3 linked regions of the Neurospora crassa OR74A genome follow. The protein of the gene in region 1 interacts with the protein of each later gene in a biochemical or structural test. Links are inferred from orthologs where the notes say so. Each region holds a gene or a part of one and is shown on either strand. Other genes may lie near its edges.

What was found.
Region 2: the proteins of NCU06929 (region 1) and NCU03838 form a complex in vitro, tested with the Saccharomyces cerevisiae proteins (4 studies listed by BioGRID, with this or other methods). The link is inferred for Neurospora crassa OR74A from reciprocal best matches to the Saccharomyces cerevisiae genes SPT5 and SPT4.
Region 3: of the proteins of NCU06929 (region 1) and stk-1, one has a biochemical effect on the other in vitro, tested with the Saccharomyces cerevisiae proteins (2 studies listed by BioGRID). The link is inferred for Neurospora crassa OR74A from reciprocal best matches to the Saccharomyces cerevisiae genes SPT5 and SGV1.

What each region holds. Positions count from the first base shown.
Region 1 is NC_026507.1:789,912-800,166, forward strand, and holds NCU06929 (transcription elongation factor spt-5), read left to right. Parts: upstream 1-4,834; 5' UTR 4,835-5,139; coding exon 5,140-5,505; intron 5,506-5,675; coding exon 5,676-7,893; intron 7,894-7,954; coding exon 7,955-8,535; 3' UTR 8,536-8,951; downstream 8,952-10,255. Other genes in the region: NCU06927 (abhydrolase domain containing 12), read right to left, coding at 96-202; NCU06928 (hypothetical protein), read left to right, coding at 1,725-1,999, 2,069-4,355; NCU06930 (hypothetical protein), read left to right, coding at 10,049-10,255. UniProt on the Saccharomyces cerevisiae protein: The SPT4-SPT5 complex mediates both activation and inhibition of transcription elongation, and plays a role in pre-mRNA processing.
Region 2 is NC_026505.1:2,568,366-2,577,724, reverse strand, and holds NCU03838 (transcription elongation factor spt-4), read right to left. Parts: upstream 4,510-9,359; 5' UTR 4,167-4,509; coding exon 4,086-4,166; intron 4,009-4,085; coding exon 3,758-4,008; intron 3,668-3,757; coding exon 3,637-3,667; 3' UTR 3,317-3,636; downstream 1-3,316. Other genes in the region: NCU03840 (hypothetical protein), read left to right, coding at 1-393; NCU03839 (APF1), read left to right, coding at 1,966-3,144; NCU03837 (Snf1 kinase complex beta-subunit Gal83), read left to right, coding at 5,165-5,988, 6,066-6,639, 6,708-6,755; NCU03836 (O-sialoglycoprotein endopeptidase, variant), read right to left, coding at 7,110-8,174; NCU03835 (hypothetical protein), read right to left, coding at 8,847-8,910, 8,994-9,085, 9,178-9,359.
Region 3 is NC_026505.1:4,753,845-4,764,368, reverse strand, and holds stk-1 (serine/threonine-protein kinase bur-1), read right to left. Parts: upstream 5,471-10,524; 5' UTR 5,092-5,470; coding exon 4,937-5,091; intron 4,874-4,936; coding exon 4,792-4,873; intron 4,722-4,791; coding exon 4,622-4,721; intron 4,559-4,621; coding exon 4,162-4,558; intron 4,106-4,161; coding exon 3,160-4,105; 3' UTR 2,595-3,159; downstream 1-2,594. Other genes in the region: ppt-1 (serine/threonine-protein phosphatase 5), read left to right, coding at 73-559, 620-658; NCU01434 (hypothetical protein), read right to left, coding at 1,409-1,978; NCU01436 (questionable protein, variant), read left to right, coding at 6,147-6,332, 6,410-6,475; NCU10144 (SAM-dependent methyltransferase), read right to left, coding at 6,839-7,063, 7,160-7,414, 7,484-7,688, 7,778-8,294, 8,370-8,385; NCU10143 (ATPase type 13A2), read right to left, coding at 9,278-9,561, 9,629-10,524. UniProt on the Saccharomyces cerevisiae protein: Serine/threonine-protein kinase component of the BUR kinase complex involved in transcription regulation.

The sequences.
Region 1 (10,255 bases):
GGGGACGGTTCGGTTAGCACATTGTGTTTACATTTCTGATTTATGAGATGATGGTTCTGGTAGTATTTTTTCTACGGAAATATGAATTTTCTTACAATCGTTGAATATACGGAATCGAAACAAGACCGAGAAAAAGAGCGTATATCCCGACGGGGACACCGACGGCGAGGGCCGGAACGAGGTAGGCCGCCGAAGACGTCATGATCCCTTGTCATACATGTGAACGAAGGAGACTAGAATGGGATTGTTGCTGGATGTATTTATGTGTGTGTTTTGTTGCTATTATGGACTTGGTAAATGAAAACGCTTTTAATCCATCGTAAAGAGCGAGAGACTCTAAATTCAAGCCGCTTTGTATAGTTTTGTTGCCTTGTTGGTAGCAAAGTTGGAATGGAATGTTGGTTCCAAGATTCGCCAGAGGAAGAGCTGACGTTGGATGGCAAAGCGGGACTCGGGTTGGGCCCAGTTAGAAGCAGGATCACCGAGGTTAGGGTTATCCGTGTAGCTCTCACCCAATCCTGCCGTCGCACTGCTAAGGAGCATAATACACTGGGTCCAGGGCGCTTGAGGCTTAATCGCCGTCCCACCCATTGCACAGTCAGCCGCAATTCCCGTGTTGGGCTTACTCACTATCAGCGTCTATCAAGCGTTGCCCGCCAATGGCTTTCCACTCATCCATCTCGGCATGTTCTGTCGCATGAGCATGGATGCGCAACACGCATTTTCTCTGAATGTCAATGACGAGATGATATGGTCATACGTTTTGAAGCTTGGGTAGACCGGTCCTCATGTCTTTTCCTCAAATTTAATCAGACACGGCGGAGACACGAGGTGCAGCACCTGCCCGACGAAGGAAAGCTGGACGACCAAGGGTAAATAAACTTGGAGGGGACCTCATTCGACCCCGAACCAATCACAAGGCCGCCAGCCTTTTATTACCCTATCCAGGATCAGTGTCCGCGTCGTCTCCCGTTTGCTAGGTAGTGTACGTAGCTAGGTACCTCTAGAATTGAGGATGGTAGGCCGATGGTACATAGTGTAGTGTAGTGTAGAGTAGTGTAGAGCGGAGGACAGGCCGGCCATTCGGACCATTTACCTACACTAGGCGGAGAGGGGGAAGGGAGTGCGTGCTCATTCCCTTCCCGTCACAGGCACATGAGAGAGAGGAGACGGGCGGGACTGGAACGAGCCCCATCCTATTATTTCTTCCACTTCCGTCTTATCCATCTCTTCACTGTACATACACTCCATCCTTCACCTTCACAACGAACTCTCATTACGGCTGAGTCGCAACACGCTCACTCGTCCACCACCACCACCACCACCACCACCACCACCACCTCCACCACCACCCACACGTCCACACACGCAGCCGCGATCGTCGTCATCTCCATATTTGGACACCCATCCCCGTCACGTCGGACACGTTCCCTCCTTTTTTGCTTCTTATTCAACCGACACCTCCCATTTGGCACCTATCTCTTTTTGTTCATAATCCCATTTTTCTCCTTCGCGATTGATACCCCCCCCCTCTACCTCCCAAGACACACGTCATTTTACGCCCTTGATACCACATCCAATATTCACCTTCCCTCGACATTCGCGATTGTCTAGGTCCCGATGCCGATTGCGTAGTGCACCACTCTCACTTCCACATCACGACGAGAAACGTACCGTACCGTACCGTACCGTACCGTACCGGGTCGGGTCGCGTGCGTGAAGCCATGACTACGGAAAAGAAGCGCAAGCTACCTCCTCGTGCCGCGGCGAGGTCTGAGCAGGCCGCCAAGCGAAGACAAACCGACACGCCTCCGACCTCGAGAAAGTCTTCCACCCCAGCGCCCGCGCCCCAAAAGGAGCCCGAGCCAGAGCCCACTGTGGAGGAGCCACCCAAGCAGACATTGCCCAGCTCCGTCACAGCAGGGAAGCCGCTTCCTACCGTCGAGGAACCGCAGCCGGAAGACCTTTCGACCAAGGACTATCAGACTCTGCAAGAAAGGTGTGCAGCCCTCTTCAAACCCCCGCGCGTTCATGCGCTTTGGCTGAATCTAACATGACCACTTCGCAGCGGCGTTCTCCACGAGTCCTTTGTCCGATCGCGTAACCAATGGATGACCGAGCAAATATTCGAAAAGTACTGGACGAAGCCGATAAAGAAGAGGGGTGCCGTCATCGAGGAACCCAACAATCCTCCCAAGGACAGCATGGTCAAGCTGGGCCAGGTGACAATCACGGTTGAGCCACATGTCTTCGAGGCGACAATGTTCGCAGTCAAGGACCCCAACCCCCCTCCGCCAAAACCGCCAACCGAGAAGCGACCGATCCTCGAATACGGACCTCCGAATGGGGTCATGCCGCCTCCTCCTACACCCAAGCCCAAGTCAGTGGCGGCCTCAACCTCGTCAACACCTACGCCAGCTGCATCAGACGCCAAGAAACCGACCACAACAGAGGCAGATCCAAAGGTCACCTCTCAGACAACACAACAAGCGGAGGCCAAGCCTCAAACACCAGGCAAGCTAGCAGTACACCCGACGTCACAGACACAGCCGACCAAACAACCATCCGCGCAAAGTGCTCCTAGTCCAGCTGCTGCGGCCCCATCCACGCTCGCGAAGCCCGCTGGAACGCCTAGAGGCATCGAATCACTTCTTTCACCATCTCCGTCCTTGGCGGCTCCGCGGGCCCCAACCACAGCACCAGCTGCTGGTGCGCAACCACCCCGACCAGTGCCCGTCCCACCAACCGTTCCACCAAGTGCTGCGACTCCGGCCACCCCCTCAATACCATCTGGTGTCCCCCCCAGACCAGCAACAGGGGCTCCAGCAGCTCCAGCAGCTCCTGCCACGCCAAGAACCACTGCCAATGGCGCCGCACCAGCCAAGCCAGCTGCGGGGGCAGATCCAATCATTCTCATGCTAGCCGAGAAGGCTGGCGAAGACCCCCAACTCCGAGATCTCATGAAGCGGGTGGCCCAGGGAGAGGCCTCCAAGCAGGAACTCGAGCGATTCCAGGGTATCATTGACGCCATCACGTCAGAGAGCAAACGGCAAAGCAACATTCCGGCGCCACCAGCTGCAGATAAGTTGTTTGTCGATGGAAAAACGGTCCAGTACTTTGCGGATGAGGTAGCTGCAATACTTGACATTGTTCTAGCATCCAACCCTAAGCAAAAATCATCTACTTTACAGCCGCCCAAAGACAGCGATGCTCTCCTGGTCTCGTTAGTAAAGATGGCCCTGGACGATGAAAAGACGAAGGAAATGGTCCGGCGTATAGCCCACAATAAGCCTCAACCCACCGATGCCACGGATCTTAAGGCGATTCTGGACCTCGCGCATTCTAACCTTGTCACTAAAAAGACTCAACAGCAACGACGCCAATCAACGGTTTCGGCAGCGGGATCTTCGAAACAAACCAACGGCGCGAGCAATGGGACTGATGGCGGTACAGGAACGACCTCACAGGCCAACGCTGCTGAGGAGAAGAAGACGACGGAGAAGGCCGAAAAGGCCACAAAGGAGAAAGGAGAGAAAGCCGACAAGTCATCGGCCCAACAGGCGCTTCGTTCAAAGGGCCCCCCGCCGCCGCCCAAACAACCTGATTATTCGGCCATCGTATTCGAGTTTGCGGGAGGAAACGGTGATCGGTACCTCTTTCCGAAGTTCAGCATTCTGGATTATCAGACTATTCCCAGTAGCAGCGCTAGCAGTACCCAAGGACAGCAACAACAACAACAGCAGCAACAGCAGGTGGTGGCGTCATTCCTTATCATCAGGAGGGGAAGCAAAGCAGTATATCCGATGGCGGACCCGGAGCTTGATTACTACCAGCCCATAACTATAAGGTTGTTTACGGCGGCTCCCAGTGGCAAACATGTGCTGGATAATTTGGCAAGAGTAGTGGCGCCGGAGGAAGAGGTCAAGAGGTACATGGACGATATCATGGATACCATGCAACGAAGCGAATACGTTCTACTGGCCATGAGGCTGCCCAGACCCACCGAGACGGCAGAGAACGGCGAAGGAGAAGGAGATAAGGCGCAGGACGGGGCCGGCGCGGCCGGGTCTGGAAAGGGACAACACGCGAAGGAGAAAGACAAGGACAAGGAGGTGGTGATGATTGATGCTCCATCAAGAGCGGAGGAAGCGGCGGCGGCGGAACTGAAAGCGCCAAAGGCGGCAAGGACGGGGGGAGTGTTGTGGACGACGGCAAACAAGCAGATACCCAAGCCGGAGATTAGGGAGCTTCCACCGAGGCGGAATGCTAGAATCATGATGGAGACCGCGGAAGATGAGCAGTATCAGAGCTTCATTCAGACGGTCACCCGGAAGGATAAGGAGGTGGTCAGGTGATTGTTTTTTTCCTGGAGGAGCGCTGTATCATGTAGATAGTTTTGTCTGTCTGTCTCTGCCAGGAGTTGACTTTTACTTGGCCGTGTTTACTAGGTATGAAAGGTTGCCTAGTAATGGTGTTGACAAGGGCAAACGAAAGGGAGGTTATCACGGTGCAGCGCTCTCTTCTACATACTCTATCAGCTGAAAGTACTTGTACTTCAGCCACGTGCGCAAATGAATAGACGATGAGGTATCTCTACCTACCTAGGTACCCGTCCTGGACTGCAAGGTCCTGGTCGAATGTAACCTGAACAAAAGGAACCTCTTGCCGGCCGGAGACCTGACCTTGGCCGCGAATAGCCTAGCGGCTTATTCCAGTGCTTGGCAGCAGCAGCAGCACACTCCCCTGCCGTCCAGTGTCCTCAACCAACCGGGGGTGGAGGTGTGACCGTCCGTGCTTCCAAGTCCACCCACTCACTGTCCAGTTGTGGGCCGTGCAGCTCTCTTTCCGCCTCACGACCCGCGGTGCTGCTGCTGCAAGTCTGCAACTGAACACTCACAGCGAGTCGACGCCTCAAAAGTCGGTCCATTTCCCACCACATCATCCATCGGCTCGAGGCCAGCCAATCTTCCTTTTCTCACCTACAAATATAATCCCACATCTCGCGACCTACGGCCATCTCTCCCTTCCTCTCTCCTTTTCCATCTCTCGCCCACACCTCGACACAACGCGCGACCGCCGGTAGTACGACTGTACGACACCCCTGTCGCTCGCCGCTCTCTTTCAGATAAATTATTCAGAATGGCGTCAAACAGCTGGCAGTTCGCCGGCGCCGACGACGAGTCCGACGATGACAACTTCAACCCCGCCCCCGCCGACATGTCGGACGAGGAGAACAACGACAACGACGAAGAGACCACGCACAACCACCGCCCCGCTGGTAAGACCGTGAGGCAGGCTAGTAGCCCGGTACCAGACGAAGAAGAGGAAGAGGAGGAACATGACGAAGAGGAAGACGCGCGCCCGGCCAAGCGATCGCGTCGAGATCACCACGACGATGACGAGGATGAAGAGCAAGATGAAGAGGAGAACGAGGAGATAGATGAGGAGGAAGAGGAGGACGAAGAGGAAGAGGAAGATGAGGAAGACGAGGATGATGTTCATGGTGTAAGTCCGGATCCCAATAATGTCCCTCCACACTTCAATTCTGCAGCACCATCCCATCCACACTTGCCAGAAAAAAACAACAAAAGACAAGTCCCGGTGCAGATGACCCGCCAAACCTACCCGTGTCGCCACATCGGGGACCTAGCTAACCCGCTGTCTTTTGTCCGCAGGGCAATCGTCGCAAGCGTCGCAACAAGGACCGTAGAGCTGCCTTCTTCGATATCGAAGCCGAAGTTGACGACGAAGACGAGGGAGAAGACGAAGTCGGCGACGGTGAAGAGATAGAGGACTTCATCGACAATGCCCACCCTGACGATATTGCCGACAGCGGCCGCCTTAACGATGACAGAAGACACCGCGAGCTCGACCGCCGCCGAGAGATGGAGGCCAGCCTCGACGCTGAGAAACAGGCAGAGATCCTGCGTGAGCGCTACGGCAAGCGCGCCCCGGCTAGAGGTTACGGAGACATGGCCATTGTGCCCCGTCGCTTGCTTCTTCCCAGTGTCGAGGACCCCAGCATTTGGGCCGTCAGGTGTAAAGAAGGAAAGGAGCGTGAGGTCATCTTCTCGATTATGCGTCGTATCGAAGAGCGAATGGGCACCAAGAACGAGGTCCCCATCACGGCTGCTTTCGAACGTGGTGGTATCAACTCGGTCATGAAGGGATACATCTACGTTGAGGCTCAAAGACAGAACGATATTCTCGTGGCTCTCGATGGCATTCTCAACGTTTATCCCAGGAGCAACATGCACCTCGTCGAGATCAAGGACATGCCCGACCTCCTGCGTGTCATCAAGACGCCTAACCTGGAGCCCGGCGCTTGGGTTCGTCTCAAGAAGCCGGCCAAGCACGCCGGTGATCTTGCTCAGGTTATCGACGTTACAGAAAACGGCCTCGAGGCCAGAGTCCGTTTCATTCCCAGACTCGACTACGGTGTCAGGGATGACCCCGTCTTCCAGGCCGATGGCAAGCGCAAGCGCCCCGGTGTGCCCGGCCCTCGTCCTCCCCAGCGTCTGTTCAGTGAAGCCGAGGCGCGCAAGAGACACCCCCGTTACCTCCAGGGGAACCCGCAGACCAACAGCTGGAACTACAACGGCGATGATTTCGAGAACGGTTTCCAGGTGAAAGACATCAAGATCCAGCAGCTCGAGGTCAAGAATGTCAACCCTACGTTGGAGGAGGTTACCAAGTTCGCCAGTGGAGCCGAGGACGGTACAGAGAACCTCGATCTTAAGGCTCTTGCTGCTACTCTCAAGGATAGCGCTAAGAGTGTTGCGTACGTCCCTGGTGATATTATCGAGGTGTATGAGGGCGAGCAGCAGGGTGTCATCGGCAAGGCCACCAATGTTCAAGGCGACATCGTCACATTGCAGGTTACCGAGGGTGATCTTGCTGGCCGGACCATCGACGTCCCCAACAAGGGTCTGCGCAAGAGGTTCAGGATTGGTGACCACGTCAAGGTCATTGGTGGCAGCCGGTTCCGTGACGAAGTTGGTATGGTTGTCAAGATCGTGGACGACAGAGTCACCCTCCTCACAGACCAGACCAACACGGAGATCACCGTGTTCAGCAAAGACCTCCGTGAGGCATCTGATATTGGTGGCCAAGGCTCTCTTGGACAGTACTCCCTCTTGGATCTTGTGCAGTTGGATGCCACGACTGTCGGCTGCATCGTTAAGGTTGATCGCGAGTCAGTCGTGGTGCTAGACCAGAACGGCGATACCAAACAGGTCCAGCCGTCGCAAATCACCAACAAGCTCCCCAAGAGGAAGTTCGCTGTGGCTGCTGACCGCAACGGCTCCGAAATCAGGCTGGACGACGTGGTCCGTGAATATGGTGGCCAGCAACGCCAGGGCAAGATCATTCACATTCATCGCTCTTACATTTTCCTTCACACCACGACCACCAACGAGAATGCTGGTGTTTTCGTCACTCGGGCTAACAGCGTCACCACGGTCGCGGCCAAGGGTGGTCGCAACACTGCTACTGCGGGCCCAGATCTCAGTGCGATGAACCCAGCCCTGAAGCGGAACCCCACTGCTAGCGGCAAGCAAATGCCAGCTCCGCGAACCTTCGGACCTGATCGGGCCATTAACCAAACCGTGGTTATTAGACGCGGTGGTTACAAGGGCTTGCTCGGAATCGTCAAGGACACAACGGACACTCATGCTCGTGTGGAGCTGCACTCTAGGGGAAAGATTATCACCATTCCCAAGGCTGATTTGAGCTTCAAGGACAAGGTCACTGGCAAGACCATTGACATCAACCAGCGCGGTGGCAGCCGTGGTGGCTTTGGTGGAGGAGGACGTGGTGGCGGCGAGTTTGGAAGCAGGACCCCTATGGCTTCGGGCGGATCGGATCGTACACCGGCTTGGGGCTCTTCTCGATGTAAGTTTTCTGTTGTCATGTTTTATCATCACTATTTGCCTGAAGCTAACATTGTCACTAGCCACAGCCCGTACCCCTGCCTGGAACCGCGACGCTGGCGGCTCGCGTACACCGGCCTGGAACGACGGCTCCCGTACCGTCAATCCCTACGACGGCAGCCGCACTCCTTACGGTGGTGCTACCGCCTACGGTGGCATCGGATCCCGCACTCCGGCGTGGCACTCGGGTTCTCGCACCCCCGCCCCCGACAGCTTCGGCCACGGCTCCAAAACACCAGCCTGGTCGGCCGGCTCCGACAGCTGGGGCTCCAAAACGCCCGGTTACGGTGCCTCTGCTCCTACGCCTGGGGCTAGCGGCGATGCCTGGGGCTACACGCCCGGCGCTTCAGGCGGCGGTAACTCATCCTCAGCTTACGATGCGCCCACGCCCGGTGGCGGTCTAAGCGCGCCCACTCCCGGCGCGGCACTCAACGCTCCTACACCTGGGGCGTACTCGGCTCCGACGCCGGCTGCTGTCAGCGCGCCCACTCCTGGGGCCTGGCAGGGTGGCTGGGGAAGTGGCGGTGATGCTGTAAGTGCGCCGACACCGGGTGCCCTGGGTGCCCCTACGCCGGGAGCACCGGGCTATGCGGATGATGATTAGAGACCAAATTCCGTGATGAGTCCTAGGGTGTAGGAGGATGTGATTTAAGCTTTCACGTTTGTTGTCCGGCGTCTAGATTTTTTGTACGTTAGTTGGGGTCTTCTGGGTGTCAGTCATTTGCAAGACGGAAAAGTCAGGAGCGCAAGGGATCCAGTGGAAAATGAGGATACAAAGGAAGCATGACATGGGTATGATGCAGTGCAAATGGAAGCAAATCGAGGAATAAATTAGCGGAAAAGGCGGTTTCCTCAGCTTGGTGTTTGTTCTTCCGTGACTTGAGCAGGATATTCATCGCTTAAGCATCAGCCTTGTCTGAGATACCCTTGATGTCTTCACACGTTGTCCGTCCCTCGCTGTCTACTACTCCTACGTAATTTCTTGGGCTCAAATATCTATGCATGGAATGATCGAGACCCATCCTATGAAGTATAATTCTTTTACTTTCTCTTATAAAGTCGAGGCAGTTAAATTGCTGGAACGTCGAAATGTGTCCATGTTCTTTGTTACTTTGATGATGATGAATGCTGAATCAGGGGTTAGGGTTAGCGTACCGTTTGCCGCCGCCAAGCACAGACCTGTGTTGTTCTCCCTCGCAGCTTCATCCGTGCATCGACATCCATCTCCACTCTCCAACATCAACACCACACACAAAGCTGGAGAGAATCCAATTGTCAGCCCACAACACTCGCGACTTATTTGATTCCTTGACTTCCTGTTCCTTTTTCTTTCAATCTCTTACTTCAGCTGCCATGAAGCCATGGGGTCCAGTCAGCAATTGGCCGGGGCCTGAAAGAGAGACAGACAAGTTGTCCCCTTCGGTCACAGTCCACTGACTGATGTGAGGACGACGACGTTCCCGTCGCAACGAGAACTCGACACAATGATGGCTTTGTTCTCTCCCCTTGCCGACGGATTGGTCAAGTGTCGATTGCCCATTCCGGAGCAAACAAAACACGCTGGGTTGTCAATGCTTGGTTCGAGCTGCCAGCCTGTTTCTTTGTCTCCCAGCTTCACAATGTTCGCATGCAGCAACTCCAGCTCTCCCTCGAAGGTTCCCGTCCTTGACTTTGGACAAAGAAGATTACCTCTAGCTAAAGCATGACCCACAGAAACCACCAGCAGTACAGCTTACCCTTCAATGGGCCACCCACTTCCACTAACGCAAACGCAAACGCAAACACCTTTACTTGTATTCGAAGGGGGCCAAAGGAAGCAAGCGGAAGAATAATGCCCTCGTTTGTCTCTTTGTCCGATGTGATGCCTTGAAATGGTTGTTTACCCCCTACAATCACCATTCCCTCTCAATGTCCTTCTCTTCCTTTTTCTCTCTTCTTTTCTTCCTCCATTCGTCGATTAAGCTGTACGCCGTTCATAAACAAACCTCATCGTTGATCAACAGCAACAGCAACAAGTAAACAAATCATCAAAAGTTGTTAGTGCGGACTGACCAGGCTCATCTACAACATCTGTAGAAGACCTAGTCCGAACCCAAACGAGTGCGGGAACGACCATCATGCCTTGGGGACTTCCCTTCTTTCGGAACCGCACGGAGGACCAGAACCAGAACAACAAGAAAAAAGGCAGCAGCAAGAGCCCGAAGAACGCCAACAAACCCACCAACCGCGTCACCAAGCCCAGAGCTCACTCGACAGGCAACCTGGAAAAGTCTACCAAGTCCACCATCCAAAAAGCCATCGACTCCGCAGACAGCTCCAAGTCC
Region 2 (9,359 bases), on another chromosome or scaffold:
GACTACCTACCACTGGCCCAGCAATGCTTCAAGGAAGCTATCCAGCTCGCGGAACAGCACCTTTGGGGATCACATTCGCTACGGCTTTCGGTCAAGACAGAATACGCAGCCTTCCTATACGAATGCGTTCACGATGCCGAGGCTAGCCGAAGACTCGCAAAGGAAACCATCTCGGAGGTGTATGAGGCGACGGAAGGCATCGACAACGACATGTTTAACGATGCGTGTGAGCTCGTCACAGTCCTCGGGAAAATGATGAAGCGCGGTTTGGGGTCGAATAATACTCTACGAAGCAAGGGTCACGGAACATCGAATTCTGGCTCGCAGGGAACACCCAGGATCGAGCAAATAGAAGCCCAGGCACCAGTCACAGCTCCGCCAGGGATGATATGAGCGAGAGAACTCGGCATTGGTTACTTTCCACCCTGTCGGCAGCGCTCTGGAAGGAGGACCCAAGTCCAGATGTCAGAGAGAAAGCCGTTGAGGATGCTCATCACCACTGGAGCCAGGCACGATCAAGCACCGTGCCATCGCAGGGATATGCCAACAGACTGAACCTTCCAGAAACCTGGCTCAATGCGTCAGTCACCGAGCAGCACGAACAACTTCGAATCCCGGATGCCGATCTTGCATTATGACATCATCGCCTATATACTACTATGCAGTACGTATATCAGCCTTTTGTTGTTATCCATGCCGATTAATACGCTTTATTTGGACCCACGGCATTCTATATTACACGGGACATATAACCATCGTCCGAGAATCAGAAACCATGCCATTTTCAACATGAGAGTTTGAGCGCAACTTCTCTTCTATCTGGCGGTTTTTGGAGTTACAGAGCGATCGCCTTTGGTCTTCATACGACATCAATATGTCATTTCACTTACGGTACAATCATGTTCTGGTTTTTCTTGTATATACTCATTGCCTTCTTTTGTTTTTGTCAATTTGATACCCAAACGCGTCCGTTTCGACCGATGGTGTCTTTTTTTGTGGCTTTTTTGCGTTTGATGTCTTTTTGCTTTTGGGTGAATGCGGGAAATCTCGGTTTGATGGGGTGGCTGTTGTTTTTGGATACTCATCATATGTCAGCTGTAGTTTGCTGTCAACATAACTGTAACTGTGTAAATACTGCTGAAAGATCGTCGACAGTTGATGGATCCGTTACAAGAAATGAAGAAGCGTGGTCGTAAGAAGGTACGAATGTGCGAGGAAACTCAGTCATTGTAACCGAGAGAGTGAACGATAAGCATAGCACCAATTGATAACCAGAAATACCTTTGCATAAAGGTGAAAGTGGGGATCGCGATCCTGGTCAACCGGAGTGTCCGAGAGAAAACCAATAAAAAAAGAGGAAAAAAGAAAAAAGACGTCGTCGAAGAGTACAGAAAAGTGTAAACCTCGAGCAAGCCGGGCATATACTCTATCACAGCGCAGACCAAGTCCGTTGTATGGCAGACCTCTCCGTAAGCGGCCGAAACACAATTTCCGAGGCACAGTGTCATCCGTAGCATCAAAAATACCCCGTTGGGAATCAGATTCCTTTGTGTAAACAAAGCGAAAAGGGGTGATCCTCGACCAAATGGGAAGCATGTCTGGGTTAGGGTTGTTGGTTGATCGCTTCAAATGCTTGGCATTCGGCATGTAACATTTGTGTGGCGGCTGGCAATCGGGGCCTACACTCGAACCTTTACCCGTTGCAGAACATCAACTTTCCAACAACAACGCAAGGTGGTCGAAGAGCGAAACACCACGATTTTTGCTCCAAGTCATCCAACACTACTCACTCACCATCTCCGTCACATAGTTAATCTTGACCCAACGCAACTTCCAAACCGTCATCCGCCGCATCGTCCTGTACTGTACCGAGCGACACCCTCCGAAAACAAAACACATACAACCAATCACCTCCCCCACCCGCCCCGACTCGCGCGCAGCGGAGTCCGTAATTACCCATTCACGATGCCCAAAGCAGAAGTCGGCTCCGCCAAATATCTGGCCAACAAGATGAAATCCCGCGGCCTCAACCGGCTGCGCTGGTACTGCCAACTGTGCGAGAAATCCTGCCGCGACGAGAACGGGTACAAGATGCACTGCCAGTCGCCCTCGCACACGGCCAAAGCGCTCGAGGCGGGCGCCAACTTCAAGGGCGTGCAAGACACCTTTTCCGACCAGTTCCTCAAGGATTTCATCGCGCAGCTGAAGACCAGCCATGGCGAGAAGGAGATCCACATCAATAAATTTTACCAGGAGGTGATTGCGCGCAAGGACCACGTGCATCTCAACGCGACCAAGTGGCATTCCCTCACAGAGTTTGCAAAGTTTTTGGGCAGGGAAGGGTTGTGTAGGGTGGAGGAGAAGGAGGGGGAGGGGTTGTTTGTGGCGTGGATTGATGATTCTCCCGAGGCGATGGAGAGGAGGGAGAAGGTCAGGAGGAAGGAGATGATGGATAAGGGGGATGAGGAGAGGGAGCAAAGGGCTTTGAGGGAGCAAATTAAGAGAGCGCAAAAGGATGCCGAGGCGAGGGGGGTTAGCTTTGATGCGGAGGAGGAGGAGAGGAAGGAGTTGAAGAGGAGGGAGGGGGAGAAGATTAAGTTGAGTTTTGGAAAATCGGCCACAACAAAGAAAGAGGAGCCCGGGTCGGGGTCGGGTGAGGGTGAGAAGGGTTCGACATCGGCGGCGGCAATGCCAACACCGGGTGCTGGGGACGGATCGGTTCCTCCTGCTGCGGAGGAGAAGAAGGATACCGTGACGCCACCTTCGACAATAACGAAGACGACGACGGACGGTGTAAGCTCTGAGCAAGCAAAGGTGGAAGCAAGTTCAAAGGGCGAAGAGGCCACTGCCAAGACGACGGCAGAGGAAAGCAAACCCGCGGTTGACTCGACTGCTGGTCCTGCTGGTCCTGCTGCTGCCGCTGCTCCCGCCACGAAGCCGGTATCTATGAAGTTCGGCATGAAGCCCCAACCGAAGAACGTCTTCAAGAATGCGTTTGCTGGGGCTCCCAAGAAGGTTATGGCTGCTCCGCCCAAGAAGATGAGCGAGGCCGAGAGGATAATGAAGGAGGAGTTGGAGCGCAAGAGGGCTCGCGAGGAGAAGGGTGGGAACTTTCCCAACAAGAAGCCACGCTTCCAGTTTTAACATACTGTGGAGTCTCACGTGGGTAACTGGTCAAAGGTTATGCTATCTCCGGGTTTGGCAATATTTCGGTACATGTTATAGGGGCGTTTTCGGCGTGATGGGAAATGTTTAAAAAAAAGATACCATATTGCATTGGGGTTTTCGTAAAAGGGATCCGTAGCTGGATGAATAATCTTCCATATAGGTTAGGTAGTGATAAACTCATTTGTATGATTGTTGTATTTCGCTGCAGTGTGTAATTATAGCCCTGGGTTGATCATGCAAAACCCAAAAAATGGCCACTATCCTGCTGTCTAGACCACGCCCTTTAAACCAGCCTTAACGCCTTGAACTCCTGTTGCCTTCCCTTTAACAGGCATTCCGCATTCCGCTCCTGGGTTGTCTGTGAACGATCTATTATCGGTCCCTCTTCCTTCTTGCTTGTCGGTTCTCTTTCCTGCTTTCTTATCCGCCCTATTCCGTCTTGTTTTCTTGCACCGCAGCTTCGAGTTTCTAGTCCGCTTCCGTCGCACTGCCATCGCGCCTGCTCCAAGTTAGTTTCTGGCTGTGCCCCGAAAACCCCACGATCATAGCCTGCTTCGCCAGACCACACGAGTGTAAGCAGGAAACTTACGGGATATACTGAATGCCGTCATCCTCCAACGTGGTGCGCACGTCATCCGGCAACTGGCCCGACACCTTGGTCGCGTATACACCCTTCACATAACCGTCCAGCCTCTGCCACTTCGCCACCCACGACTTCTGCGGGTTGGCAATGGTGATGATTCCTTCAAAGACTTGCGACGTGCAGCTGTCGATCTGATCCGGCGAGCCCTGGAGATGGAGGAAGTCTTCGCAGTTGGGGCATCCTTCGTCACGGAAGCGCTATGACAAAAACAAAAAAGGTCAGAAACTTGTCGGTCATAGAGTGACTAGAAACGAGGAAGGGCAGCTCGACTTACAGCATAGGTCATGACGATAGAGCAGACCATGCAGGCACGAAGGTAGCGCTGCTGGCCGGGGGCAACGTAGTTCTCCGACATTTTTGGGAGATGTGTAGGGATGGCGATGTTACTGGTAACTTTGGGGGCGGAAACCGATAACTCACTCGTCTACGAATAGCTGAGCGAGTGAATGAATAACTGGAAAAGGACACTTGACGAAGGAGGGTGATGTTCTTTAGAGGAATGCATGTGAACATCGATAAGTTGTTCTCTGGAAAGAAGATCGGCCGCCTCTCTTGCCTGCCGCGTCGCGCCAGCGCAAGCTCCAGGTCTCACAGCGGGCCAGGAGTTGACATGCAAGGGGCGCACGGTCCAGGAGCTAGAGAAGCAGGAGAGAATGTGGGAAAGGTGGGGGCCGAAGTGGAAGCTGGGGCCGATGCCTGGAGGTGGACAGTGGAGACACTGCCGTGCAGTTGGGCTGGGCGCCGTCTCACACTCATCCACAGTTCAACTCTGTTCGCCGAGTCCGGGGCGTTGCATCCGAGTTCCATTCAGTTGCCAGTGGTCGCCCGCTTCTTATCGAGCAACCAGGTGGATGGCAGCTGTGCTTTTTGGCCCAAGGGAGGACAGTCAACTGCTGCAGTGATACTCTGATAACTGAACTGAGCTCTCTACCTACCCGTCATTCTCTCGACTTCCACTTCTTCCACTTGTTTCGCGCATCCTCGATTCGACACGACTCGAATCATCACATCTTCCAGTTTGCTGCGATATTGCCTGCTCCAACTCTATTACGACACGACACCTGACAACGTCGTTCGAATTCCCAAAAACCACACAACCACAGCCACGACCAGCGCTGGCGTAGCATGCAAAGCCCCTCGACTGTCAAACCACCTTCTATCCGAACTCGGCCAATTACCCCGGAGAGTGGAAGATGAATTGATTGCACCCGGTGGACGCATTGTTGAACAGGTGTAGCAGTAACAGCAGCAGACCGCGGTAGCAGCGAACCACCTGTGACGACCCCGTTCGACCGACCCGACCACCACGGCGACCCCATCCCGTCATCAGCGCCAGCGATCGAGCTAGGGAAAATGGGGAACAACCCCTCCACCTCCAGAGACTCCAAGACCCCGAATCCGCAATCCTCCTCCTCCTCCTCTCAATCGCAGTCTCAGCACCAGTCGCTGGCTTCCATCCAAAATGACTCTGCCAGAGCAGTGAAGCGCGATACCAAGCACCCTATACCGGTCCCAAATCAGCGAGTCGCTGCCCCTCCTGAGCCCTCCTTGACCCAGGCCCAGGGCACCGCCGTCCAGCCGCCCTCAACCACCGCTCGTCCCAAGTCGCTGCACTCGCGAATGCCACCTTCTCAGAGCGGCTCGCCGGGCTCGTCGGTGCCTACCAGCTCTGCCACCCCCACCAAACCTGTCGAAGTAAGACAGCTGAGACCCGAAGACAGTCATGAGCCCGCGAAACCTGTAGCCGTGCCCACACCCTGCCACGCCTCGTCGTGCTCACCTAGGTCGCCGGTGCGATCACCGCTATCAGAGAGATCGGATGCCTTTGAGACTGCGGCTATGCAGCTGAGCAGTCTGCAAGATGTCTCGTACCTGACCAGGCCGCCGCGACTACCTCTGCCGATCGAGGAAGAGGTCCACACACCCGGATCGCCTATCATTGCCCCGACCGACATTGGGGTCCCACTCGAGGATGCCGACACTTTCACCGCGCTCACCAGACGCTCTTCCAACTTGAGTAACAGCTCAACTCTGGACGAAGAAGACACGGAGGAGCTACGGGTGGACAAGACTAGACCGACTGTCCCCACCAGGCTCGAATGGCTCCGTGGCGGCGAGAAGGTTTACGTGACAGGCACCATCTTCCAATGGAACAGGAAGACACGATTACACCCGGTGTAAGTACTTTCTACATCCCGGCCACTTTCGCTCTCAATACGGATGGGGCCTTGCTGACACCGCTACTCGCCAACAGTGAGGGCCGACCGGGTGTATTCGCTGCTATTATCAATATCCTGCCGGGCACACATCACGTTCGCTTTCTGGTTGACGGGCAAATGCAGACCTCGCCAGACTTGCCGACCACGGTAGACTTTGGCAACAACCTGGTCAACTACATCGAGGTCAGCCCTGATGATGTGGGGCGCACCGCTGCCCAGGCAGCTGCTGCAAGCGCCGCCAAGGATTCCCAGCAACCTACGGAGCCCAAAACCTCCGCGTCCGAGACGGAGGAAAGCAAGGCACCTAGGGACCGACCTGTCCCTCCGGCGGAGCTGTTCGAGAACAAGATCCCGCAATATCTACTCGACTTCGACGCACCCGAGGAAAGTCCACCTTACCTGAGTGCTGTCAACGCCATCGAGAAACTCCCAACGCCGCCTGCGCTTCCTGGCTTCCTCGGCAAGCCCATCCTCAACGCGGCCACCTTGATCAAGGATGACAACAGCGTTCTGAACATGCCCAACCATACCGTTCTTAACCATCTAGCTACTAGCAGTATTAAGAATAATATTCTGGCTGTGTCGGCCACGACGAGATACAAGAACAAGGTTCGTCTCCCCGTATTTCGTAGCTGCATCTTTTTGCACGTAGTCGTTGATGCTAACGGACTGTACAGTATGTGACGACAATCATGTACAAGCCAACAACGACAGAGGGCATCTGAGTTTGGAATGCTAGTAGTCAGAGCTGGGTACAGTTGGCTGGTGGCTACCACTACTAGACGAACAGCGCAAGTCATGAGTAGAATAGCGGTGCATGATGAACCGCCCAGTATGACCTATTCTAGATATGTCTACAAGTAATGTCTATAGGACGCTGTAGCGATGACGAGGACACTTTATGGAAGCGGGCGCAAATTGTTGTCGGCAAACTGTCCATGGGCATCCTGCTCCATTAAGGGGGCACTAAGGGACAACAAGAGGCGCATATAGAGTGGCTGCCGTGGATAGAGTAAAGGTTATGGGATTTGGGGGTATCGTCGTAATGGTCATCTTCGTCTTCGTTTCCTTCCTTGTCATTAGTCCCTCCACTTGACGAAGACTTCGTCGGTTCTGAAGCGTTGTGTACATGTGCTTTCATCAAGCGGCGTCCGGAAGCCCGTCTCGTAGGCCAATAGACCAGCATGAGCAATCATGATGCCGTTGTCGATGCAGAACCGCTCGTCGGTGGCGTAGACACTTCCGCCTCGCTCCGCTGCCATCGCGCCCATCATCTCCTGTAGCCGCTCGTTGCAACCGACACCGCCAACAATAAGAACCTGGTTGCTACCGACGTGCGCCATAGCCCGCTCGGTGATCTCGACAAGCATGGCAAATACCGTTTCCTGCAAGCTGAAGCACAGATCTGCGGGTGTAAACGGTTCGCCGTCGGGGCCCGGCTCGCCCGCCTTCATCTGCGCCGCCAAGTCATCTGCCCGCCCCAGGATTCCGCTGAACGAGCAATCCATTCCCTTGACCGCATACGGCAAGTCCAACAAGACTCGCCCACCTTGCTTGGCCAGCTGCTCAATATTGTACCCGGGCGCCGGGTCGTTGCTGATCTCCAGCGTGCGCGCGAACCGGTCCAGGCAATTACCCACTGCAATATCCAGCGTCTCGCCAAAGATACGGTACCGCTGCTCCGCGTACGCAATCACCTGCGTATTACCCCCGCTCACGTACAGCACCACCGGGTTCGACGCCCCCGTTATCGCCCGCCCCATCTCGATATGCCCGACACAGTGGTTCACGCCCACCAATTCTTTACCCCACAGCAGCGCGAGTGTGCGGGCGCCCACGGCCACCGACGTTAGGGGCCCGCCCATCCCGGGCCCCTTGGTGTAGCAGATGCAGTCGATTTCCGAGATGGAGACCCCCGACAAGGCGAGCGCCTTCTTGGCTACACGCACAAAGTAGGCACGGTGGTGTCGGGCTGTGTCCTTGGGAAGGAAACCGGTGCCGGGAGGAGAGACGAAGGTGTCGCGCACGTTGGACAGGACAAGGGCTTCGCCGGTGATGGGGTCGTGCGCAATGATGCCGATGCCGAGCTTGTTGGCGGAGCCTTCGCATCCGAGAGCGATGCGGCGGCCTTTGGCGTCGGGCATTGTTGGCTGTTGGGGCTTTGTTGGATAGAGCGAGGGAGGGAGAGGGTTTCGGTTACTTGGTGAATCGGGAGCCGGTTGCTTCGTATCAGATAACTCGCAAGGATATTTCGTTGGGGATGTTTATCGAGGACCTTGATATCCTTTGGTTGTTGATAGGCGTCGCGTCGCGTACTGAATAGGATGGATGGATGGATGTTGTCAGTGCCACATCCAATGCCAGATGTCAGATGGAGAAAGTGATAATGGAGGGGCACCTTTTTAGAGTGGGGAAAATTTCGTCGCGTCTGTGAATACCTAGGCTAGGCGCGCCGTAGTGATCAAGGTGACGAAACTCGAGATCGAGATGAAAGAGGATGTACATACTTATTCCCCCAGCGGGCCGGTATCCCGTCTCCTAAAACCGGTCGACATGTTCACTACTTGTAACGATGCTTTAAAGCCATTCTCGCCCGTTGTTCTTCTCAAAACAAGGGAACGGCCTCGCCATGGGAATCAGCAATGGGATTTCGTCAGAGCCTTCCATGGAGTCGATGAGGGGTTCAATGAAATGTGGGTCCCCGCAGCCGCTTGTGCACAGTCGAGTGGGACCTTTATGTTGCTTTGGATGCGCAATGCAATGTTATGTAAGGCAGGCACGTAGCGTGGCTCGTGCGCTAGTAGTAGCAACGATTTCTATCCACATATAGCCGCAACGGCGCAAACTGTGACCATGGATGCATGAGTTGTGTAAAAGACACTAGAAGTTTGATTATTTCTAGCTTTTTCGCCATGAGCTGATCCAACAGTTCCATTGCAACAAATATGTGCAGATGAGCTTACGTGATTTGACTTGCTCTGTGGAAGTGCAAAAAGGCTCCGAGCAGTTCGGGGTCTGCCGAGCCTGGGCTTGGGGCTCTCTGCACGGGACCCCACTGCACCGAGAATCAATTCTCCCAGCCAAGCGAGAGTCCGCAGCCGTCCAACCATCTTCCATCCTCCGAGCCTGTATCACCCAACACCTCACCTCGTTGCCGCCAAACCCAAACCTCCCAACCGCACGGCCAGACCTGCCTCTTTCAACAGCCCAGCCGACTTCTTCCTTGTCTTCACCATCCTTTGCCTGCCATTTCTTCGGCAGAACATGGCCGGGCTGCTTCTTGTTCGGTTCTTGCAAGCTTTCGAGCTCACGGGGCCGTCTGGGCCGGA
Region 3 (10,524 bases), on another chromosome or scaffold:
TCTTTGCGCCCATTATGCGACATCCTGAATTTTCGAGCACACACCAGCTGACACATCTCACCTTCTTCCCAGAACCTACAAGCTCTTTTCGGAAAGTTTCTCGGCCCTCCCGCTCGCCACGTTGATTGGCAAGAAGTTCCTCGTCCTCCACGGCGGTCTCTTCTCGGACGACAACGTCACGCTCGACGACATCCGCAAGCTCGACCGTCACAAGCAGAAGCAGCCCGGTCAGGCTGGCCTCATGATGGAGATGCTCTGGACAGATCCTCAGCCGTTCCCTGGTCGCGGCCCCAGCAAGCGCGGTGTTGGCATGCAGTTCGGTCCCGACGTTACCAAGCGTTTCTGCGACAAGAACGGTTTGGAGGCCATCATCCGCAGTCACGAGGTTCGCATGGACGGTTACGAGGAGGAGCACGACGGAAAGTGCATCACCGTCTTCTCGGCGCCCAAGTACTGCGACATGACGGAGAACAAGGGCGCTTACATCAACATTGGTCCCGATTACAAGTTGAAGTTCTCGCAGTTCGATGCCGTGCCGCATCCCAATATAAAGCCCATGGTGAGTCTTCTTGATCTCTATGACTGTCGCCACCGTACCGAAACTAATCCTTTTTCCTAGGCATATGCGCAAAGCTCCGTCATGTCGTCGCTGATGTAAAAGTTGGATGTATTTGTATAGCACCACAGAAAATAAAACGGCGTGAATACCTCGGGATGCTGTGTAGATCGGGCATGTTTTGCAAGGAGAATGGTTCTGTTTTGGCTTTCGATTGCATGTGATTAGGCGTCGCGCGCAGGAGTATCGGGGTTATGGTGTTAGGGTTCTTCTTCTTCTTGTCTTGATGATATATATTCCTTCTGGTGTTATTTGGATTCCATAGTGGTGATATCTTCTAGTCTGCCAATCGACAATCTCGATGTTGCCTCTTTCATAACTCCGTCTGCATGAAATCGCGACCTTTGCGTAAAAGCCAAGTCTTCTGTCTTCTCATAGGGGACCATCACAATTACGTACGGCGCACAGAAATTGTAGTAAGTAGTCCGTATGACGCTCTTGGAACCTCGTGTACAGTCGCTGACCCAGAACATTCGCCGCGAGGGCTGTACCGATTTAAGCCAATTCTTTCTCCACAGAGATAGCCGTTGAAACAGGACGAGTATACAGTCATCTCCCTCCATCTTCCTCACATTTTCCCTTTCCTGAAGCTGCCGTAGCTACAGTCTGGTAAGTACTCAGCCTCGACCTCTTCCTGCCACAGAACTCTCCTAGCCGTCCAGCCCAGGAGCTCTTCCCATTCACTGCAATCCTCTCTTCCCAACTCCTGGACAGAACGGCCCTCCTTCTCCCAAGACAACTGAAATAATCCCTCCCAACGAAGTCTCACACCTCATGCCCCATTCTCAAGCTTCACCCCCAAACTCTCGCTTCCCCCTCCCTCCCCACCAACGCCCCCAACCAATCCCCACACCCCACCACCCTCATCAACATCTGTTCTTCCCCTCCCACATTATGGCCCGGGTAAGCAGTGACCGCCGCCGCAAAAGCCGCCAAATCCTCCCTAGGCACGCGAACCCAGCATTCGGTGCCCTTGACTAGCAACATGTCGATGGCCAGCGAGGCGCCGGTGTCGCCGAGGAATTGGCGGAGGGCGGTGGTGAGGTAGTGCCGGGCGGTTAGGTCGTCGAGGGAGGGGGTGTTTTGGGAGGAGGAGGAAGAGGATGGGAAGGGAGAAACCAAAGAGAGGTGGGCGTAGGAGAAGACGGGGGAGCGGATGGTTGTTTGAGTGAGGGTCTGGGATTTTGATGATTTGGTGGGCTTGGTAGTGATGGTGATGTTGGTGGTGGGAGGGTCGATATCCATTTCTGTTGACATTTCGGTTGTTTTGGTAGTGGTGGTAGTGGTGAAGGTTGTGTTTGGGAAGGTAGTAGATTCGGTTAAGTTTGGTGATTTGAGATTGGTGTTGCTTTGCTTTAGCATTCGTTTTTTCTCTGTTATTTTTGTCTTTCTTTTTGTCTTTCTTTTTGTATGCGAATGGAATATCAACGTTTTGAACGCTGGTATCGATGAGATGTGATCAGAGTTGAGATTGAAGTGACTGCTTTGGAGTTTGCATAGCCAGTAGTAACTGAAGGATGATAGATTCTGTGAAGTTGTAAGTGGAAGATTTTCAGTCGCGAGCCGTTTGCGATCCGAAATGAATGTTTCGAACTTGCTGCATTTCATCTGAACTACAACATCTGATCATTTCGACATTACCCTTCCACATGTTGGAATTCCAATCACCACATTAGACATCTCGAATCATTCCTTTTCAAAGGTCAGAAACATCCTAGCTAGCTGCATCCAGGATAAGACATGCTGCGATGATGTTTGCATACGTCTATCTGCTTTTACACGAGATTCTATTGTATCGATGTACCAATTAGGGACCCACCTCGATACACGCATATCGCTGATAACCACACTTGTCGTCTGGGCAGTCTGTACTGAGCTTTCCACTCCCCCAAATGCCTATCAAATAAACAAGCTAGACAGAGATAGGGGAGAGGGTGTTATAGGTCAACCAAACATCATCCACATGCTCTTCTATCCCCGACCTTCTGACGCTCGTTCATCGTGATCGCCATCACAGTGAATCGCCTCAAACTCCCACCAGGCTAACACCATCTTTATTCAAGGCATGCACGCATTGCTATTGCTTTTTGGCGATCCTAATCCCCACTACGGCTTCTCGAACGGCCTACTTTGCACCCCAACTCTCGTGGCCTCGAGGACAGCCTGCATTCTCCCTCCTTGATTGTAACGCTTTTTGCAGTTCCGCTTCTAGCAGCACGAGCGCTATTTATCACATGTCCTCTAGGACCTATTCTGGTCGTCTCGGTGTCGTTCCATCATCTCCGCTAGGTCCACAACTCTTACTAAAAACCCAAGTCGGCATATCGCTGTCACACCCATAGAGGTGATTCGGAATACCCTTCTTCAGATTGAGAGGTATTGTCCCGCTCACCCCTATCAGGCTTATTACTATTGTCCCCCTCATCCCCGTTGGGCCTATCACCATCATACCCATCAGATGTACTGCACTCTTCTTCCTCCGAGTTACTCCTATGGTTCTCGGCATGGCAACTATCAGAGCTTTCTACACCAGGCGAAGAACTCTATCTTCGCGCATATGCATCGCGGTCCCGACCTCGATCGCGGTCACGGACCGGGGATCTGCTGCGTGTTCGGCTCCTCGTCCTGCTGTCCCGGCTCCTAACGTCATATTCTGGCCGTCTTCTATCCCGGTCCACTCCACCTCGCCTGTCATCCCAGTCATCACGGCGGCGCCAGTCCTCTCGGCGCGGCGCGGGTCCGTCGCGGTCGTAGCTGGGGATGTAAGTGTCTACGTTGCTCGGACCACCTCCCCCTCCGGGCGGTCCGCCGGGACCTCTACGTGGTGGACGGTCACGGTACCCATCGGTGTGGTCCATCGGCCCGCTGCCATGGTAGTCTGCGGGCATCGGAGGTCGTGGAGGCAATCCCCGTGCACTATGCCACGAGGGAACTCGCTCGTCGCCTGGTGGGGGACCACGGTGGTATGGCGGGTATCTGCCGCCGTTTGCCCCATTACGACCACCACCGCCGTAACCATCCCTACCGCTAAATCCGGTATCTGGGCCTTGGCTGTTAACAACAGCCCCGCGGCCCACCGTGCCTCCCTTAGGCGCAGGCGGCAATGCCGCTTTCCTGTCTTGAAACTTGCGCCTGTCGAATTCGTGACTCTCCTCGAACGTTGGTAAATCGCCAGGTAGAGCTGGTAGTGGCGCAGTCCGGAAATATGGGTGGTTGAGAGCATCAATCGCGTTGATGCGTGACCTCCAGTCAAGCTTGAACAGCTCCTTAAGCAGCGAAATAACCACGGGTCCGTGCTTCTCAAATCTGCGTGCCAGATTTCCTGGCCTAGGCTTTGACGAGAATGCCTGGCCACCGGGTAACGTCCTCCATCCCGGCATCGTCTCCTCAGATGGTGTTCCGCAGAGGTCCCAAACAAGCTCTAACTGGTGAAGATCGCTCTCGCCCTGTAGGACTGGCTTTCCTTCCAGCATCTCTGCGAATACGCATCTGTAATGGTTGTTAGCATGAAAGAGAGCGCATCTAGGGAACATGTCTAGTCTTACCCAACACCCCACATATCTATTGCTGTGGTGTACCTTTTGAGATGCATCAGAAGCTCGGGAGGGCGGTACCATCTGGTCACCACCAAGCTAGTGTAGTCACGCTTCCCCTCGCCGCTTCCCTTCCCGGGTTGGGGAATGTCGCCCTCGTAATGCCTCGCTAGACCAAAGTCGGCAATCTGTAGTACACCCTTGTTGTTGATGAGAAGATTGGCCGCCTTCATATCTCTGTGCAGAATGTGGTTCGCGTGCAGATACTTGAGACCTTCTAGCAACTGCAGCAAGTAACATTTAACTTGTGGTTCAGTGAAGCGAACTGACGGGTTATCGAGCAAGCCGGATAAATCGTGGTCCATGTAGGGTGTGACCATGTATACGATAGGTCTTGTTCGCTTGTCGGCTGATGACGGTGTTTACTTTAGTAAGGGCCATCGTCATTGTAGCTCATGGCAGGTTGACCTACTTCTGGGTGGATGCTCAATCGCCATCTCCTCTAGGCGCAAGACGTTTTTGTGCGAGAGAAGCTTGAGCAACTTGATTTCTCGAAGAGCGGTGATGGGGAACTGATGGGCAAGTCAACGTTAGGGACCGTCGAAACCAAGACCGAATCGAAGGGCAAGCACGGTGACGAACCCCATCTCTCTCGTTGTGCATGATGATCTTCTTGAGTGCGACCAAGGCGCCCGTTTTCCTCGACCTCGCGCGGTGAACCTCGCTGAGCAGGATAGTGTCAATAATCGCAACGATTGCTCTGGGGAAACACACGATGAACACATACCCAAAGGTACCCTCGCCCAGTTTACCCAGGACTTCATAGTCGGCAATCCTAGAGCAGCCCACGAAGCTGCCCCTGTCCCTCTGGTGCGCAAGCGCAAAAGCGCGAGGAGACATGGCAGGGCCTCCGCCGCCCTCCTTTGCCTCGTCGATGCTCATCGTGTAGCACTCCTCCTCTTATTTGTATAAAATCTTTTTGGCGACACTTGCTTAAAACCGAGGGGCCAGAGGCCAGTGTTGTGTTGGAAGCTGCGGGACGTTGTTTGGCTTTGGTTATGGATATCGTCGGCGTTTGATTTTCCAGTTGCGAAAGCAGAAGGGAAACAGGAGGATGGAAGGAATCCTCTGTCGCTTTGCGCAGGCGTCGGTTGCCCTGTATCTGCCGGCTGTTGGTGAGTTACCTGGCAGTTTGTGCTGTCAGGTGTAAAGCAAAGACATGAAGCGACATGCGAATTTGCCGGTTGGTGTTTGGGGGTTCACCTCTGGTTTTCATTCTTGGACTTTGTGATAATGGATATTCGGCTGGAAGGGAACAAAATGCCCCGTCGCCTTCACAAGACTGGAGGCGCGCTCTACATCTACCCTAGAAGTGGCAGGCCGGCCCCCGTATCGGGTCCATGTTTAGCGTGTCGGGGTGTACAATGCACGAGCCCACAGCGGAAAGTACCTTACCCCAAACCCAGGCCGTAACCGTAGCGGTAGAGGTACCTCCCAACGAAGCTTCCACAGGGCAAGTTCTACCCGCCCGTACCTAGCGCGCCTTCCAAGCGACGGGAACCTCCCGTCACTTCATCGATAAAAAGCCGATGGGCAGGCAACCTACCGGTAGGTACGTCTATGCAGACCATGACGTCTCCAACTCATCGCTTGTACCTTCGTACCCTTTATCCCTTCCACAAGTGACAGCAAAATCTGTAGCCTCAGAATTCAGGCAACCAATGATTGAGATCCTCAAAAAGGTACCTCGCTACTACTAACAACCACGCATCCTCCAGTGGTAGCCCGAGGTGGTCAGGATCCCAAAGGACGGACGACTCCATCTCCGGTCTCCCCCCATCGTCGCAAAACCCACGCCCTCCGGTCAGAACCACAAGGTGAGAGCTCCACCACCACCACCAACCCACCTGGATCATGTCTGTGTGAATGCGCAATTGAATAACTAACAAACACCAAATTGTCCTCGGGAAAAAAAGGGCTACTGCATATTCCACACAATGGCAGGCGATGGAGAATTCGAGCGAGTCCCTCGCCCCGATAACTACCCTCACGGGCCCGAGTTCCAGCCGCGCACGCTGCACCAGAGGTTGCAAGGGAAATGGTGGTACCGCGTGCCTCCCAACCACAGCAAACCCATCTACCAGTTCCTGAGCATTGGCCTTGGTGCATCGATGTGGTTCTGGGTAAACTTCCTTGTCATCACGAATCCTGCGTATCCCGGACAAGTAACTGACTCGTGCTCGCCCTATGCGTTTACCAGATCATGTACCGGGCAAAGAAGGACGGGGCCGTTCTCCTCGGCTTGAAGCACCCTTGGGATCACTGAAGGAATGGTATCGACGCGAATCTTCAACGACGTGGAAGTGGCCATAAGGACTGCGTTAAGACTTCTACGAAGCGACATGGTGGCTGGAACAGAACATCATTGACTGGCATGGGAACTGGACCAACAGAACAGGTATCGGCCCGTATAACAGAAGGGCGTCATCATCAGTCATCATTCATCAGGTCTGAAGACAGGCCGCAAATCGCGTCAGAACAACAGTCAGGCGCATCTTGAATGAAATAACTATATAAAGGGGAAAGATATGAAGTGTGATCTCTATGTACGCCATGCTAACTAACCTTCGCCAATCATTCATGGGAACTTCTGACCATGTTGACCTTTACACACTCTCAAGTTCTGGCTTCAAACGGCTTGCAAGCCGAACACCTGCATTTCCATATCTGGCTTTTCGAACAAAGCATGGGTGACCCCCCACGTGTCGCCTCCGTCCGTCTTGAACATTTCCGAGCTGGCCAGGTGGAAGATCTGCCAACGGTTATGCCAAACGACGGCCTTTTCCTCGCCGTATGTCTTTACCAGGTGCGGCATCATCCTCTCCCTTCTGGCCATGGTGTTCTCGAGCCAATGCTGTGTGGGAGTTTTATGTGTTAGCCCCTGTCTCGGATCCAAATGTACATGTTACGCTCTTTCAAAGCATCGAGGGGTTCGAGTCGGTATTCTTACCTCGAGAGACTTCGAGTAGTGGTATCCATTGATCCACCAGTGCTTCTTGATGACCAGGTCCTTCTGGAAGTACAGAAGGAGATCTGATGAGGGCATGGTTCCTCCAGTGAAGAAGGTGCGTGCCATCCATCCATCCTCGTAATGGTACGGCGTCGTACGGTGGCAGAAGTGGTGGACGAGAAGCTGGCCACCGGGACGAAGGGCTCTCGACATCTTGGCCATCAGACCTTCGTAATTCTTCATGTGCTCGAACAGCTTTAGGGCTCTCATGTCAATGACTACTTCTTAAAAGTGTCTCGGAGAAAACCCCAAGTAATTGCTCACCTCGACGGACAACGCCCGGTCGAAATAGTCGCGTTCAAATTCATAGTCGGTACAATTTCCAGTGATGATCCGAAGGTTCATCAGGCCCAACTCGTATGCCCTAGCGTCGATGTACTCCTTCTGAGTGCGCGAATTGGAGAAGCCGACGACCTCCATGCCTGGGATCTTCTCGGCGAAGTACAAGACGGCAGCTCCCCAACCGCATCTATGACTGGGTTAGGCTCTTTCTTCTATGTGTTTGCAACTCATGCGTGCAATGTTTAGTCCGATTCTCATGAGTGATAGTGAACTGACCCAAGATCCAGGAACCTCATGCCAGCCTCCAAACCCAGCCTCTCGATGTAGAGATCAAGCATCTTCTCCTCGGCCTCTCCCAATGACTCATTGCCGGTGGGGTAATATGAGCAGCTATACTTGATCCTGGGACCAAGCATGTTCGCCATGATTCCTGTGGCGATCTCGTAGTTTTGTCTGTTTGCGGCGTCCGTCTCGATAGCGATGGGCTGATGGCGAACAGTCTCGAAGAAGTTCATCTTGTACGCCAGAGTCTCGGACCAGCGCGAGATGGGAGCAAGGACGCCCGGGAGAAGAGCAATCTTGGGCGAAGCCATTTCTTCGAGTTTGGCTTTCAGGCTGGGATTGCCCTTGGCAGACACTGTGGCGATGACCTTGTCCGGAAAGGGAGGAGTGATCTCATCGAGGCGACGGCGCAGCTCCCTGCGGATGAGCACGCGAAGGACAGCATGCGGGAGGACACCGCTGTCCAGGATACTGTCGCACCAAGTGTCATTGAGGTTGTCGAGAAGCTTGCCTACAGGACCTCATGTCAGACCGGATCTCCCAAGTTCACATATGTGTGGTGAGCAGATTGTCAACATGTACTCACTGATAAAGGGGAACATCTCGTCTGATGCTTATTTGAACGTTGGTGTTGAACAGGATGCTACAGTCCGTGTGAACGCTTGACGGTGGACGTGTCCCAGAAGGAGAGTGAAGCGTGAGTGGGAGATATCCTCTAGGTGTGTGTGCGACGAGCTAAAAGAACGAGTGGGTGGTAGTTGCTGCTATGGCAAAGACATAACCGCGAGTATTTTTTCCTTCCTTTTTTTTCTTTTGGGGGCAACGAGGTTTCTATAGGATCTTGTTGTGGGTGCTCGAGTGTGTTGCTGGAGAAAATCAGAAAGAACGAGGCAGAACTGCTCAAGGACTGAGTTCTTGATAGACTCGATGGACAAGTGCGGTGAGTAACGCCTTCCAGTCTTCTGAGTTGACCGCTTGTGGCTTCCTTTCAACGGAAGGTGCGATGAAAGCACGAGGTACTACCGCCCAGCAATCGCGGCCGCAAAACGCGTCGTTTGGAACGGGAATAGTAAGAGTTGAGGGTGTTAACGTGTCTCATCATGTTCTTTCCCGGGGCGGGGAATGCGTCGGCTTTACATTAGAGGCAAGCACTCAACACATGATTATGAAGAGTTGAGATGGGATGGCTTGGGATGGGTCTAGACTCGAGGTCACAAAAAGCTGAGATAAAACAAAGATGAGCAGACGGTATTGGGTAGGAGATCCTCCAAAAACAGGAACGCTTCGGATAGGGTATGATCAGGGCCGTGATTACAAGGTGAACGCGGATATAGTCGAATCTTTGCTAAATACGCTTGCTTGTAGCCTGAAAACTCACTGGGGAGGGGGGGAGGCGAAGACACTCTCCATCCATGCCTGAAACGCCTCGGCGCCATCCAGGCCTACGTTCGTATATACAAGGTGTCAAAGTGGGAAAGAGACGACATCCCTCAATTAGCAGATCATCCTCTCCAAAATGACCTTATACTCCTTCCTCTTCTTGGGCTCCCTGGTCAACGACTGGCTGACCTTTCCAATCAAGCGCGCAAGCCGTTGGAACATGACGTGCTCGCCAACCCAAGCCAGAACGAAATACATGATGCCCAGGGTAAAGATGAACATCTTGAAGTCCCAGCTGATGGGAGTAAGGTCCATCAGACTTACCAGCCCGGCCGCCGGACCGAGTATCATGTATCCCGTGAACGCAAGAGTGGCAGCAATCGCAGCAACAAAGGGCCCTATGAACAAAAGTCAGAGTATGTGATTAGGTAAGTGACAGTCAAAACTTGAATGGGGGAAACGTACAGTTGTTCCAGGGAGGTTGCCTGAAGGGCCTGCCCGCATTGAGAACCACACCTGCGAGTATATACTCAAAGCAGGACGTCAAAAAGAGAGCGGTATTTTCAGAATTCCGAATGTTGACCTTCTCATGTTCTACCTTGGGCGGGATGAACCAGGGTTGCTCGCGTACAGCGATGAACGCCATGGTTTGGATGAAGATGCAGATAAACATTTGTCCAAGAAGTGGCACCAACACCTTGCGAGAGACCAGGTCGGCCGTCGGTCTCTTACGACAGAGCTCTGGGAATGGGCCAGCCCAGCTCATAAAGACGGCAATCGGTAGAATGAGGGCCAAGTCAATGAACAAGAATTGAAAGTCGCCCAGATTCGATGCTGACGCGTACAGGAAGCTGACTGACGTGAACTGGATGGCTGAGTACAAGCTCATGTACTTGAAGCAACTAAAGCTGGTGACAAGCGCGGCTCGGCCTTCGCGAATCACCTCTGGGACGCAGCGAATGTCGAACACTCTGGATGTAAAAGGAGCGGCCACGGATGCTTCAGCCTCGGAAAGTGAGATACCGACATCGGCAGCCTTCAAAGCGCCGCAGTCGTTGGCGCCGTCGCCACAGAAGCCACAGCAGTAATCTATGCTCTGCAATTTTTCGACAAGCTCATGCTTCTCGTCAGGAGACATGCGGGCAAATACCTTGCCAGTGACGAGCATTCTCCGCATAACTTCTGGAGGCGCATAGTCAATCACCCATCGGAATACATCGCCGCTGACAGCCAAAGAATAGTTCCGTAGGTTAGAAATGTCGTATGGAAGAGAGACGTCTCCCTCTGGCGGTGGTGGTAAGGGGAGCAAGGTGCGGTCGTCCAGCTGGTAAATCGGATTGTCAATGCTCTCCCATTGTAAC